Callithrix jacchus: one gene and its partners. The protein of the gene in region 1 purifies or fractionates together with the protein of each later gene. This does not show direct contact. Links are inferred from orthologs where the notes say so. Each region holds a gene or a part of one and is shown on either strand. Other genes may lie near its edges.

Evidence for each region. The genes of interacting proteins can lie anywhere in the genome.
Region 2: the proteins of FOXJ1 (region 1) and cyclin-dependent kinase 20 purify together in Homo sapiens (affinity purification with mass spectrometry; 3 studies listed by BioGRID and IntAct, counting the BioPlex papers as one, with this or other methods). This does not show direct contact. The link is inferred for Callithrix jacchus from reciprocal best matches to the Homo sapiens genes FOXJ1 and CDK20.
Region 3: the proteins of FOXJ1 (region 1) and FBXO11 purify together in Homo sapiens (affinity purification with mass spectrometry; 3 studies listed by BioGRID and IntAct, counting the BioPlex papers as one, with this or other methods). This does not show direct contact. The link is inferred for Callithrix jacchus from reciprocal best matches to the Homo sapiens genes FOXJ1 and FBXO11.

What each region holds. Positions count from the first base shown.
Region 1 is NC_133506.1:132,041,731-132,045,978, forward strand, and holds the start of FOXJ1 (forkhead box protein J1), read right to left. Parts: upstream 2,801-4,248; 5' UTR 2,664-2,800; intron 2,240-2,663; exon of another isoform or gene 2,122-2,239; 5' UTR 1,953-2,121; coding exon 1,455-1,952; intron 1-1,454. UniProt on the Homo sapiens protein: Transcription factor specifically required for the formation of motile cilia. Acts by activating transcription of genes that mediate assembly of motile cilia, such as CFAP157.
Region 2 is NC_133502.1:77,540,645-77,544,144, forward strand, and holds part of cyclin-dependent kinase 20, read left to right. Parts: intron 1-76; coding exon of another isoform or gene 77-134; intron 135-388; coding exon 389-544; intron 545-1,920; coding exon of another isoform or gene 1,921-1,944; exon of another isoform or gene 1,945-2,082; coding exon 2,083-2,280; 3' UTR 2,281-3,500. UniProt on the Homo sapiens protein: Required for high-level Shh responses in the developing neural tube.
Region 3 is NC_133515.1:66,903,102-66,906,601, reverse strand, and holds part of FBXO11 (F-box only protein 11), read right to left. Parts: intron 3,145-3,500; coding exon 3,050-3,144; intron 1,818-3,049; coding exon 1,695-1,817; intron 1,598-1,694; coding exon 1,512-1,597; intron 1-1,511. UniProt on the Homo sapiens protein: Substrate recognition component of a SCF (SKP1-CUL1-F-box protein) E3 ubiquitin-protein ligase complex which mediates the ubiquitination and subsequent proteasomal degradation of target proteins, such as DTL/CDT2, BCL6, SNAI1 and PRDM1/BLIMP1.

The DNA.
Region 1 (4,248 bases):
GGGGGCTGGGCAGCCAAGGATGGTGGCGGGGGGGGGGGGGGGGGGGGGCGGGGAGAGAGAGAGAGAGAGAGAGAGAGAGAGAGAGAAAGAGAGAGAGAGAGAGAGAGAGAGGAGAGAGAGAGAGAGAGAGAGAGAGAGAGAGAGAGAGCCAGCGAGCGTATGCAGGGATGAGGGGTGTAGGATCTGATGACTTTCCCTATTTGTTGAGCTGGCTGCTGGCCTGGGCCTTCACCCCCCAAGGCCCCCTCCCCCTACTCTAGGCTCAGTTGATTATTACCCAGCCAAGAGCCAGGAGCATAGCACTCATTCCTGGGGCTGGTTTCCTGAAGCCAAAGCTGAACAGGCTTAGGGTAGGGTGGGGCTGAGGGTCCCTGCTTTTTGCTGTGGCTAAAATGACACTGCTCTAGGGTCAGGGGGCATTTGAAATGGCTTGGGACTGTGGTCCTGTGGCCTGCCCACTTTGGGTGCTTCAGGGAAGAGTCTGGGCATCCTTGGGGGGCCTCTGTTACCAACTAGCCCTTGATGGTGATGGCTGAAGACGGAGCAATGTCCACCCAGCCTCAAATCCACCATCCTCCTGCCTTGTCCATTCTTATGTGTTTCATCTTGTCCAAAGCCTGCTGGGGCCCAGGGTCCTGGGCTGGGACAGCAGGGCAGGTGGGTGATAGTGCCCCCAGCAAGGCTGGGATGTTTACATGGTGGCTGGGGCCCCTTGGCTGCTCTGTGCCAGGTTCCAGAGACTTGGAACATGCAGCCGTGTGGCAGGCAGAGCCCCTGTGGAAGGTACCTGGCTCAGGTAATTGTCTCCCCAGGGAGGTTGGCTGAGAGCGGGGGTTGGAGGGAGAAAACTAAGCAGAGGTTGAAGTAGGGGGCTGGGACAGCAGCTTTAGGAAGGTCCCCCTTTAGGAGGGGGTAGCCCTCCACCCTCCACTGGGACAAAGCTGGCCCTCACATGCCACAGCACTCCTTCCATCCCACACTCCCCAAGCCAACTGCAAAAGGGCAGGACATAGAGCCTGGCAGGGAGGCCATGTTCCAGTTTCCGTTTCTGACTCCCAGCCTGACAAACCTTCCCGGGCAGGGCAGTGGCTAGGAATTCTAGGACTTGGGACAAGAATGTGCCTTCAGTTCACTGCTCTCCCCAAGGAGACTCTATCCACGCGGTCTAGCCCTGGTCTTTGGCCTGGGCCTGCTGGATGAATGGCAGGTTCCTTCCCCTTGAATCTCAGCCTCTGCACCCCTAAAGCCCTCTACCTCTGGACACTCTCCCTTCTCCCTCTCTGGAAGTCAAAGGAGGGGCAGCTGCAAGAACTGGGCCCCTTTGCAGTCCTCCCTTCTGGGGCCCTGGCCGCACGGAGCCTACTTGGCCTGCAGATCTGGGATGTGAATCCAATGCCCCGTGGGGAGCCAGGAGGGAATGGGGAGGGAGCGGCCGCCGCCCGCGCCTCCTCTACCTGCCAGGTGGGATCTGCATGGCGGAAGTAGCAGAAGTTGTCCGTGATCCACTTGTAGATGGCCGACAGGGTGATCTTGGTGGCCTTGCTGGCCTGCATGGCCATGCAGATGAGCGTGGCGTACGAGTAGGGAGGCTTCACATGCGGGTTGGTGGCGTAGTCCACATCGTCGGGGGGCGGGGCCTGCAGCCCCGGGGGCGTGCTCCGCGATGTGCACGACGAAGTGGGCTTGCCCGGCGTGTGCGGCTGCCCCAGGCAGGCGGGGTCGGCCGCCAGGGGGGACCCGGGTGCTGCTGAGCCTGGCACCTGGTGGTAGCCGTGGGGGTCGGTGCCCCCCGGGGGCAGGGCGGGGGCCTTGGCGTTGAGAATGGAGAATTCCTGCAGCCACTGAAGGCTGGTCAGGCTGTCATCCAGGGCGTCGGGCTCCTCCAGGCCGCCCTCCGGCCCGGCCTCCTCCGCCGGCCCGGCTCCGGAGAGGCGCAGCCAGCTCTCCGCCATGTCTGCGGGGACTCTCCGAGGGGGCGGTCAGCATCCACGGCCTGAGTCGGGGGTGGCCCGCCGCGCTCTCCCGCCCGCTGACTCCCGCAGCTTCGGTTACTCGGCCTCTCGGACGCGCGCTTCCATCTCGCGACCCCTGGGGCGCCTCCTCCGAATATGCTTGTGGTGCCTGCGAGGACCACGGCGGGAGCTGAGCACCACCCCACGCCCCGTACAGGGGGCGCCTCCCCTAACATCATCCCCGCAGCTGGGGAGGATCTTTTAGTACCGAGGTCTGGGAAACAGAAGTAAGGCCCTGGGGTCCCCCCCCCCCACCAGAACCGCCTCCCTCCTCCTTTCCTCTTCGAGGTTTTATTAGGCAAATAAAGTAAGAGGGTAGGGGCATCCGAGGCTATCCTTTTCTCCCGAAGAGCAGGAAATCAGGACCCCCTTCCTCCCCGCAACAAATGGAAATGGGGCGACAAGTCTGGGAGGGCAGTACGACGGGGCGGGAGCGGAGGAGGTCCTCTGATCCTTGAAAAGGAATATTATGATAGGGGGTCGTCGGGAAGGAAGGGGACGGAACAGTTATGAGGGGCAGGAGGCGAGTTTCCCACAAACTCCTCCGTTGTCAGTCCCTGGGCCCACCACTTCCGTCAAGGACGAACGAGAGAGCGGACTGGTACCGTCGCCCACCCTTCCCCAGGGCCTGTAGCCCTCCTCGTCCCTTACCTGGCTCAGAGCGCAGCCCGGGCCAGAGGAAGGTTCTGGAAGAAGTTCCTCCCACCCCCTGCGGCTCTCTGCCCCTCCGCTCGAGGGCCCTGCCAGCGCCTCTCGCTGCCCCCCCGCCCGACGGCGCTTCTCTGAGCGACCGCGGCCCTGGGACCGGCAATAAGTAGCCGCTCCAAAGGCTTCTCCTGCAGCCATGGCGACGCTCCGCCCCCATAAACAGCTTCCGCCACTGCTATTGGCCAGCAAGTCTCCAAGGAGACCGCGGGCACTTGCCACGCTCTCTGGCGGCAACGCTCTTCGAACTCCCTCCTTCTGCCGCCCTCTCCCGCGCCACCCAACCCCCTACCCGCCGCCGCGTCCGGGCTCGGTTCTTTCCCGCCAGAGGGCCCCGCGCTGGGGTCGGAGAAGCGCGCGGCCCGCGGCCCCCGGAACCGCTACGGATCCGTTCGTCCTGGGGAACCACGACTCCCGCCCCCACCCCCTTCCAGTCCGGGTCTCTCTGAGGCATCGACTGCTCCTGGGACAGAGCCTCGGGTTGAGGGGCTAAGGCTGGGAGCGGGCTTAGGCTCGGGAACCGTATCCTTGAGGTTTTCTTTCCTCTCCGCTGCGAGTGGCACTTTCTCATATTTCTGCGGCGTTTCCCTCTCCCCCGACCCTTAGTATCTCTCTCTGGTGCCCCAGGCAGGTCTGACTCTCCGATGCCACCTGCTGCTTACATCCACAGAGGCGGCAAACACCAGGCGGTAGGGTAATCCAGTGTGTCCCGGTAAGCAGCCCATTCCCCACCCCTATCCTCAAGGTTCCAGGAAGCTGATATTCTAGAGACTTCTGCAGAAGCACACTCACTCTTTTGGAGACAGCGGATGAGGCAGAGCCCGTGGGTAAAACTCTGAAGTCATGGACTTGTCAAATTCTTCTAGCGGTGCCTTTTAGTCAATTAATTTCACCAACTTTTAAGTGACAGGGATTAAGGGTAGAGGGACTCTGGGGACTGTGGCCCTTCTTCCTCCCTTCCCCTGGCCTCCCTCCTGTCACCAGCTTTCCTGCTCTTTAATTATTGAGGAGCTGCAGGGTTGGAAGTTCTCCGGTTTAAGGCGGCTGCAGAGGCAGTGGTGGGGGCTGGGTTGCTTACCCAGCCTCTGCCCAGGAGCTGGAGCCAGGAAGGCTGATGCCCAGGCCATGAAGAAGTCCCGGCAATGGTGCATCTCTCCCCCACCAACATGCCTTTTCCTAGCCCTTGCCTCTCCCACTCCTCCAACTCCAGATCCTCTTGAATAAAAATATTAGAATACTGAAGAAAGAGAAACTTTCACAGATAAACTCACTTTGTAGTTAGTTAGCTCTCCTTCCCTTGTAAACAGTTTTATTCATTTTTAAGAATCATGCAGCAATCCATAATATATTGCATTCTTGCTGTCCCCACTGTAGTGTGCCCACAAGTGTACCCCAGGGAGAGGGGTACACAGATGGCTCAAGCAGTATACACATGCGCACACCAGGTGTTCAGACCAAAGCAAAGTGAGCAACCAGCGTGCCAACCCCAGGTGGGCAGGATCCTAACTCCCCAGGTGAGACGCATGAGTGT
Region 2 (3,500 bases), on another chromosome or scaffold:
ACTCCCCGACAGCAAGTGACCACTCCCTCCCCTGAACCTTCTCTCTCCTGGCCTCAACGCCCCCCTTGATGGACAGGAACCACTGTCCTGCCCCAACTCGGGTTCCTCCTTCCTGCTGTCATGAAGGTTTGGGGGTAGGTCTTGCTTTTTGTCCCCTTTCACCCCAGTATACACATGTGCAGTGTCTCAGCAAGCTGGGCACAGATCTGCCATCTGAGAGGGCAAGGGGATGGATGAAGGAATGTAGGGGTGGTTGAATGGGTCAAGGAGACACATGGTGGGAGAGCACCCCCCACATGAGGGTGTTAGGGGCTGAGAGCTGACAGCAGAGGGTGTGGTGAGGGTTGGGGACTACTCTCATGGACCCTGTTCCTTCTCCCTGGCCCAGGAGCTTGCCGAGCTGCCAGACTACAACAAGATCTCCTTTAAGGAACAGGCACCCGTGCCCCTGGAGGAAGTGCTGCCGGACGCCTCTCCCCAGGCATTGGACTTGCTGAGTCAGTTCCTTCTCTACCCTCCTCTCCGGCGCATCGCAGCCTCCAAGGTAAGGTGAGAAGCTGGGGTCTCTGCTCCTTCAGCTCCCCTCCCCATCACCCTGGTACTCTGTACTTGGTTGCCACGTGACCCCCATCAAGTCAGCGGCTCTCAGAACGTGTGATGGGCAGGGACCAGCACCAGGCATTTGGAACCCAGGGGACAGGGACCTTGGAGCAGGTGTGCCTCTTCTGAGGCACTGGACATCCCTAGAGTTCTCCTGAGGGTGGCCTCCAAGAGGGGCATGCCCACCTCACAGGAGAGCACATGTCCGAGGGTGCTGACTTCTGGGCTGCCTCTGATCCTATAGGGGGAGCACTGGGGACTCGTTCCTTCATTCCTTTGGCAAGTATTTTCTGCACACCCTCACGTGGCAGGGGTTGTTCTGGGCCCCACACGGATGGTGAACAATCAGACCTGCCTCCATGGGGCACTCCTAGTGGTAAGGTAGCTCCAGGCCCAAAAGGTCACAAGAGATTGTGCTGTCCCAGTGTGGGAGACCCAGAAGAGAGGCGAGGCCGACTTTGGGGTCAAGCAAAGCTTTCTGGTGGAGGGCAGGTTTAAGCAGGAGATGTTTGAGGAGGTGTTTGCTGAAGAGAGAAATGGTGGGCAGTGGCCTGGAGGCGAGGACCAAGGAAGGCTGGTTATGGCTGGAAGGCCTGGGAGGACGATGAGGACCACAGGATCATGGGCTGACAGGTGTCAGGGTGTGTCTCTCAGGGGTCCCTGTCCCCTCTGCACGCAGCACCAGCAGCAGGTGTTTATATACGCTCTCTTCGTCTCGCAGCTCCTGTGGGCTCTGCATCCACAGTGCACCCCAGCCATCTGACCCTTACCTCCTGATTGCCTCCCAGAATCTGGGTCTCCCCTCATCCCATGTAATCTCTTCTCCACCTGGCAGAGAGAGTAACTTTATCCAAATAGAGCAGGACACATTCCTGCTCTGCCAGGCCCTCCTATGGCTCCATGTCAGAGGAAAAGCCAGGGTCCTCTCTGTGGCCCACAGGTGTCACATGTTTGGGTGCCATCACCTCATGACGCTGCCAGCTGTTGTGCCGTGTGCCCACTGCTTTCCAGCCCCAGGGCCTCCTCCACACACCAGGGCATCCCCTGGGGTCTGTACACTTTTGTCTCTGCCCTGGAACCTCATGTCCCACTTGCTCATGTCTCAAGTCTTGGCTAAAATGTCACCTCTCAGATGGCCTTCCCTCGTGACGCTTCATATCTGTAACCTCTCTCCAGGATTCCTCATTCCTCTCTCTTGCTGTCTCTTTCCCACTGCACTAATCATTATCTGACATACGGTGTATTTTACTTCATCTTGTTTATTACTCCCCACCCCCACCTATGTCAGAAAGACAGAGCTTTTGTCTGTTTTATTAACAGCTATGTCCCCAGCTTCTGGAATAGTGTTTCAGACATAGTAGACACTCAGAAAATACCCAGGCACTGAGTCCACTGAATGCATAGATGAAGGAACATCTGCCTGAGGCTGAGGGCAGGGAAGTGACTGGTTTCCTTCTGCTGTTCCTTACTTGCCACCCCCAGGCTCTCCTCCATCAGTACTTCTTCACAGCTCCTCTGCCTGCCCATCCATCTGAGCTACCGATTCCTCAGCGTCCAGGGGGACCTGCCCCCAAGGCCCATCCAGGCCCCCACCACGTTCATGACTTCCACGTGGACCGGCCTCTTGAGGAGTCGCTGTTGAACCCGGAGCTGATTTGGCCCTTCATCCCGGAGGGGTGAGAAGCTGGCCCTGGTCCTGTCTGCCTGTGCCTAAGGACCACCCAGTCCACTTGTTCCTCTGCCACCTGCCTGGCTCCACCCTCCAAGGCCTCCCCATGGCCACACTGGGCCCACTCCACACCACACCCTGCCCCTTGACCCTTGTGAGGGTTGGTCTTGAGGCAGAGGTTATGTTCCTAGCCAAGAGCATGACAGCATCCAGTCCAGCAGAGGAGATTCACGTCCTGTGCTTGGTGAGTCTGTGTGCTGCTGACTTACCCATCAGAACAGTGAGCTCTGCTGCCATTCAGGGCCTGCCTATGCAGAATGGCGATGTCTGCCTTGGTGATTACCCATCACAACAGTGAGCTCTGCTGCCAGCTAAGGCCTGCCTATGCAGAATGGCGATGTCTGCCTTGGTGATTACCCATGAGAACAGTGAGCTCTGCTGCCAGCTAAGGCCTGCCTATGCAGAATGGCGATGTCTGCCTTGGTGATTACCCATGAGAACAGTGAGCTCTGCTGCCAGCTAAGGCCTGCCTATGCAGAATGGCGATGTCTGCCTTGGTGATTACCCATCACAACAGTGAGCTCTGCTGCCAGCTAAGGCCTGCCTATGCAGAATGGCGATGTCTGCCTTGGTGATTACCCATCACAACAGTGAGCTCTGCTGCCAGCTAAGGCCTGCCTATGCAGAATGGCGATGCCTGCCTTGGTGATTACCCATCAGAACAGTGAGCTCTGCTGCCAGTCAAGGCCTGCCTGTGCAGAATGGCAATGCCTGCCTTCGTGCTGCTTCCCCAGGTGTTGCCTCCTGGTCAAGGAGAAGTGCAGAGAGTAAGGCGTCCTCATGTTGGAAACTCAAGTGGAAGGAAGATTTGGTTTTATTCTCAGAGACATTAAACACTAGTTCAGTATGTGAGGTTATAGATTCTAAAAACCTCTGGTGTCTCTGTCTGTTCCTCCTCTATTTCTCTCAAGGGAAATAAAGTGACATTGTCTGATGGCCCTCATTTTTGGGTGGGTCCTGGGGAAGGTGGCACCAGGCACAGCACTTTTGCCCTGAGGGCCTCTCGTGTGCTTCATATGACTGATTACTAATTTGGAAGTGAGGGAGATGGAAGTCTAGGCCCAGGGATGGCTCCAGTTGGGGATCCAGCAGGAGACCCTCCGCACTGAGGCTGGTTTACCAACATATCTACTCCCTCAGGATGAGTGTGAGCCAGAAGCAGCTGTTTATA
Region 3 (3,500 bases), on another chromosome or scaffold:
AGTTTCTCCATGTTGGTCAGGCTAGTCTCGAACTCCCAACCTCAGGTGATTCACCCACCTCGGCCTCCCAAAGTGCTGGGATTACAGGCATGAGTCACCATGCCTGGCCTTGTTATTTTTTTAAATTTTGCTTTGAACCCTGAGAAACTAAGTAATAAGATTGATTTGCTTTGCTTTCTTTTCATTTGTGTGTTTACTGGAAAAGCATTTTTGATTTGTTTCTGGAACTTTTCCTTTGCATTCACAACTTAGCCAACTGGACAAGAGGCCTAGCTTTTGGTCTATTTAGGCTTTTGACATACTTTCCTCACTAACCTTAATCATTTCTACCTTTTGATTTAAAGTGAGAGATATGCAACTCTTCTTTTTACTTCAACACTTAGAGGTCATTTTAGGATTACTAATTGGCCTAATTTAGATACTATTGTGTCTCAGGGAAAAGGGAAGCCTGAGGAGAGGGGGAGAGATGGGAATGACTGCTTGGTGAACAGTCATACACGACATTTACACATTAAGTTTGCTATCTTGGGTGCAGTTAATGGTGTCCCAGAACAATTACAATAGTAACATCAAAGATCACTGATCAGAGATCATCATAACAGATAAAAGGATAAGGAAAAACTCTGAAATACTCTAATAATTATAAAAATGAGACATAGAGACAGGCAGTGAGCACATGCTGCTGAAAAAATGGCACTGAGAGATCTGCTCAACACAGGGTTACCACAAACCTTCAATTTGTAATAAACAGAGGTAAGCCAGTATATGATCATTAGGACTGACAGAGTTCCAAAAACTTGTAAGAGGGGTATCAAAGGCTGGACGCAGTGGCTTACGCCTGTAAACCCCAGAACTCTGGGAGGCTGAGGTGGGCAGATCATGAGGTCAGGAGTTCGAGACCAGCCTGGCCAACATGATGAAATCCCATCTCTACTAAAAATACAAAAATTAGCCGTATGTGGTGGCATGCACCTATAATCCCAGCTACTTAGAGGGTTGAGGCAGGAGAATTGCTTGAACCTGGGAGGCGGAGATTGCAGTGAGCCAAGATCATGCCTTGGGTGATCTGTCACCAGCCTGGGTGACAGAGCAAGACTCTGTCTCAAAAACAAAAAACAAAGGCGGGGGGAGGAGGGGAGAGATAAACAACTATTAATTTTATGGAAATAGCACAGAACAGAATCATTTTACTGAGTGCCAATCATATGCCAGGCATAGTGCACAAGTATTTTAATACAGACTTCCACTCTCCACGTATGAAGGAACATATTGGCAACTGAAGTGACTTCCACTTTTCATAGTGGAAAGTCACATCTCAAAGTGATGTGACTCTTTACCTAGACCAAGGAAAGTTACATTCTGACAATTCAAGTCAAGATTATTTTAAGAATGTGAATATATATACAACAGAGGGATAAAGATTGGGCATTAGACAATAAGCAAATCTGTTCTACACACCCCACATACTCCTAACTCCCTCCCAAAACAAAGCCAAATGTAAAAACATTTACCTTATCTGAACCCCTGAATACATATGATTATAGATATCATTGTCTTCTAGCACTCCATGTCCATTGTCATAGAAATAAACACCAACCTAAAATTAAAAAAAAAAAAACAAAAAAAACCTTTTTCAAGTGACAAGTATTTACAAAACAATGTATTTCCCACCCAAGAGTCCAAGCTAATCCTACCTGCTTGCCACTGTGTATCCGGTTTCTTCTCAGTACTGGAGTGCTGCCAGTTGTCACCCAGACTCCAGCCAGAGTATTACTATAAACTTCATTCTCTTCTATTACTCCTTGTCCCTTTTCATGCTAAATAAAAGTTACACTGGTTATATCTTCTATAATCAAGGCATTTATAGTCTGTTACTCCCTTTATAGACAGTTATGAAAAAACTTTCCATTTTTGTTTTTTCATCTGAGTAATGAGGTAATGGCAACATTATTTTTTTTCTTGAGATGGAGTCTCGCTCTATTGCCCAGGCTGGAGTGCAGTGGTACAATCTTGGCTCACTGTAACCTCCACCTCCACCTCCCAGGTACAAGCAATTCTCTGCCTCAGCCTCCCGGGTAGCTGGGATTACAGGCGCCTGCCACCACGCCCGGCTAAATTTTATATTTTTAGTAGAGACAGGGTTTCACCATGCTGGCCAGGCTGGTCTGGAACTCCTGACCTGTGATCCTCCTGTCCAGGCCTCCCAAAGTGCTGGGATTACAGGCGTGAGCCACCGTGCCTGGCCCAATATTCTTTTTATGTAGCCTCTACCCTCGTTTTAAGCTTCCAAAAATTTATAATGTTAAGTGGTTTTATACTTTTAATATCACATAGGAGTAGTAGTAGCATTCAATTTTCTTTAGCAAAAGAATTAATTCACTCTAGGATGACAACGTCTCATTTAGTAGTAAACTTATTACTGGTTAAATCAATTCAAAATGACATGGTTTCATGTTCACAAAATTTTTACTTTTAGCAGGTAATTGAGGACATGTGCATCTCTAGAACCATAAATGAAAATTAAAAGTCACACCTTGCATAACATAAAGACCTTTTTGAAATTTCCTACATTTTCTTACTTAAATCAGTCACAAAATTTTAGATAGCATGAGCGAAGATGATTAATACAAAGGTTTAAAAATTTTGAAAGACAATTATATTTTAACATAAATTGAAATGAAAAAGTGGCAGAACTTCAGAGACTCATACCCTAGTCATACTGGTAAAATTCTAGTGTAACAAATATAACAGACTGCAAATGAATTGCTGTTGCATTTAGCCCATAATGCCAGTAATAAAGACTTTAATAAACAGTTGTATCTCTTATGCCTAAATTTAGTCAGCTGCTGATTAAATTTTATAGAATTCAACACAGACTATAAGATACTGACAGGGAGAACAAGAATGCTATTTATTGTCTAACTATTAAAGGCAGTCATAAATTCACACTACAGAAGTTGAATATGGCCTACCTAAAAGCTTAAGGAGAAACTCTTTCTCCCCCCTGGTTTTGATGCACGAGTTTATATAACTATATACATTAACTTACCACATAAATCCCACCATGCTGGCCATCATGAATTTTGTTATGCCGAACAATTGGACAACTGTTTGTCCTAATTTGAATTCCTGCTAATGCATTGCCTATTTAAAAATAAAAGTTACAATGTCAACATTTGTAAGCCTAGGGAATACAGTAAGGGTTTTACATTAGATAGTGGTTAAAATTCTTACACTAGAATTTTAGTGACCATTACAAGACAAAATTAAGGGAACTAGAAGTGTAAATAGATGCGGAAGGCTGCAGGCAGTATAGCAGAGTGGATAATCTCAAGCTAAGCTGCCACATTTCGAATCCCAGGAATTCTCCCTCCTGTGTGACCCTGAGTAAGTAATTTAACCTCTTGTGTCTGTATACTGATCAGTAAGTATCTTTGTGCCTCTGTATCCTGATCAATATTTAATGGTATCTACCTCACAGTGTTGATGTTAATGTTATA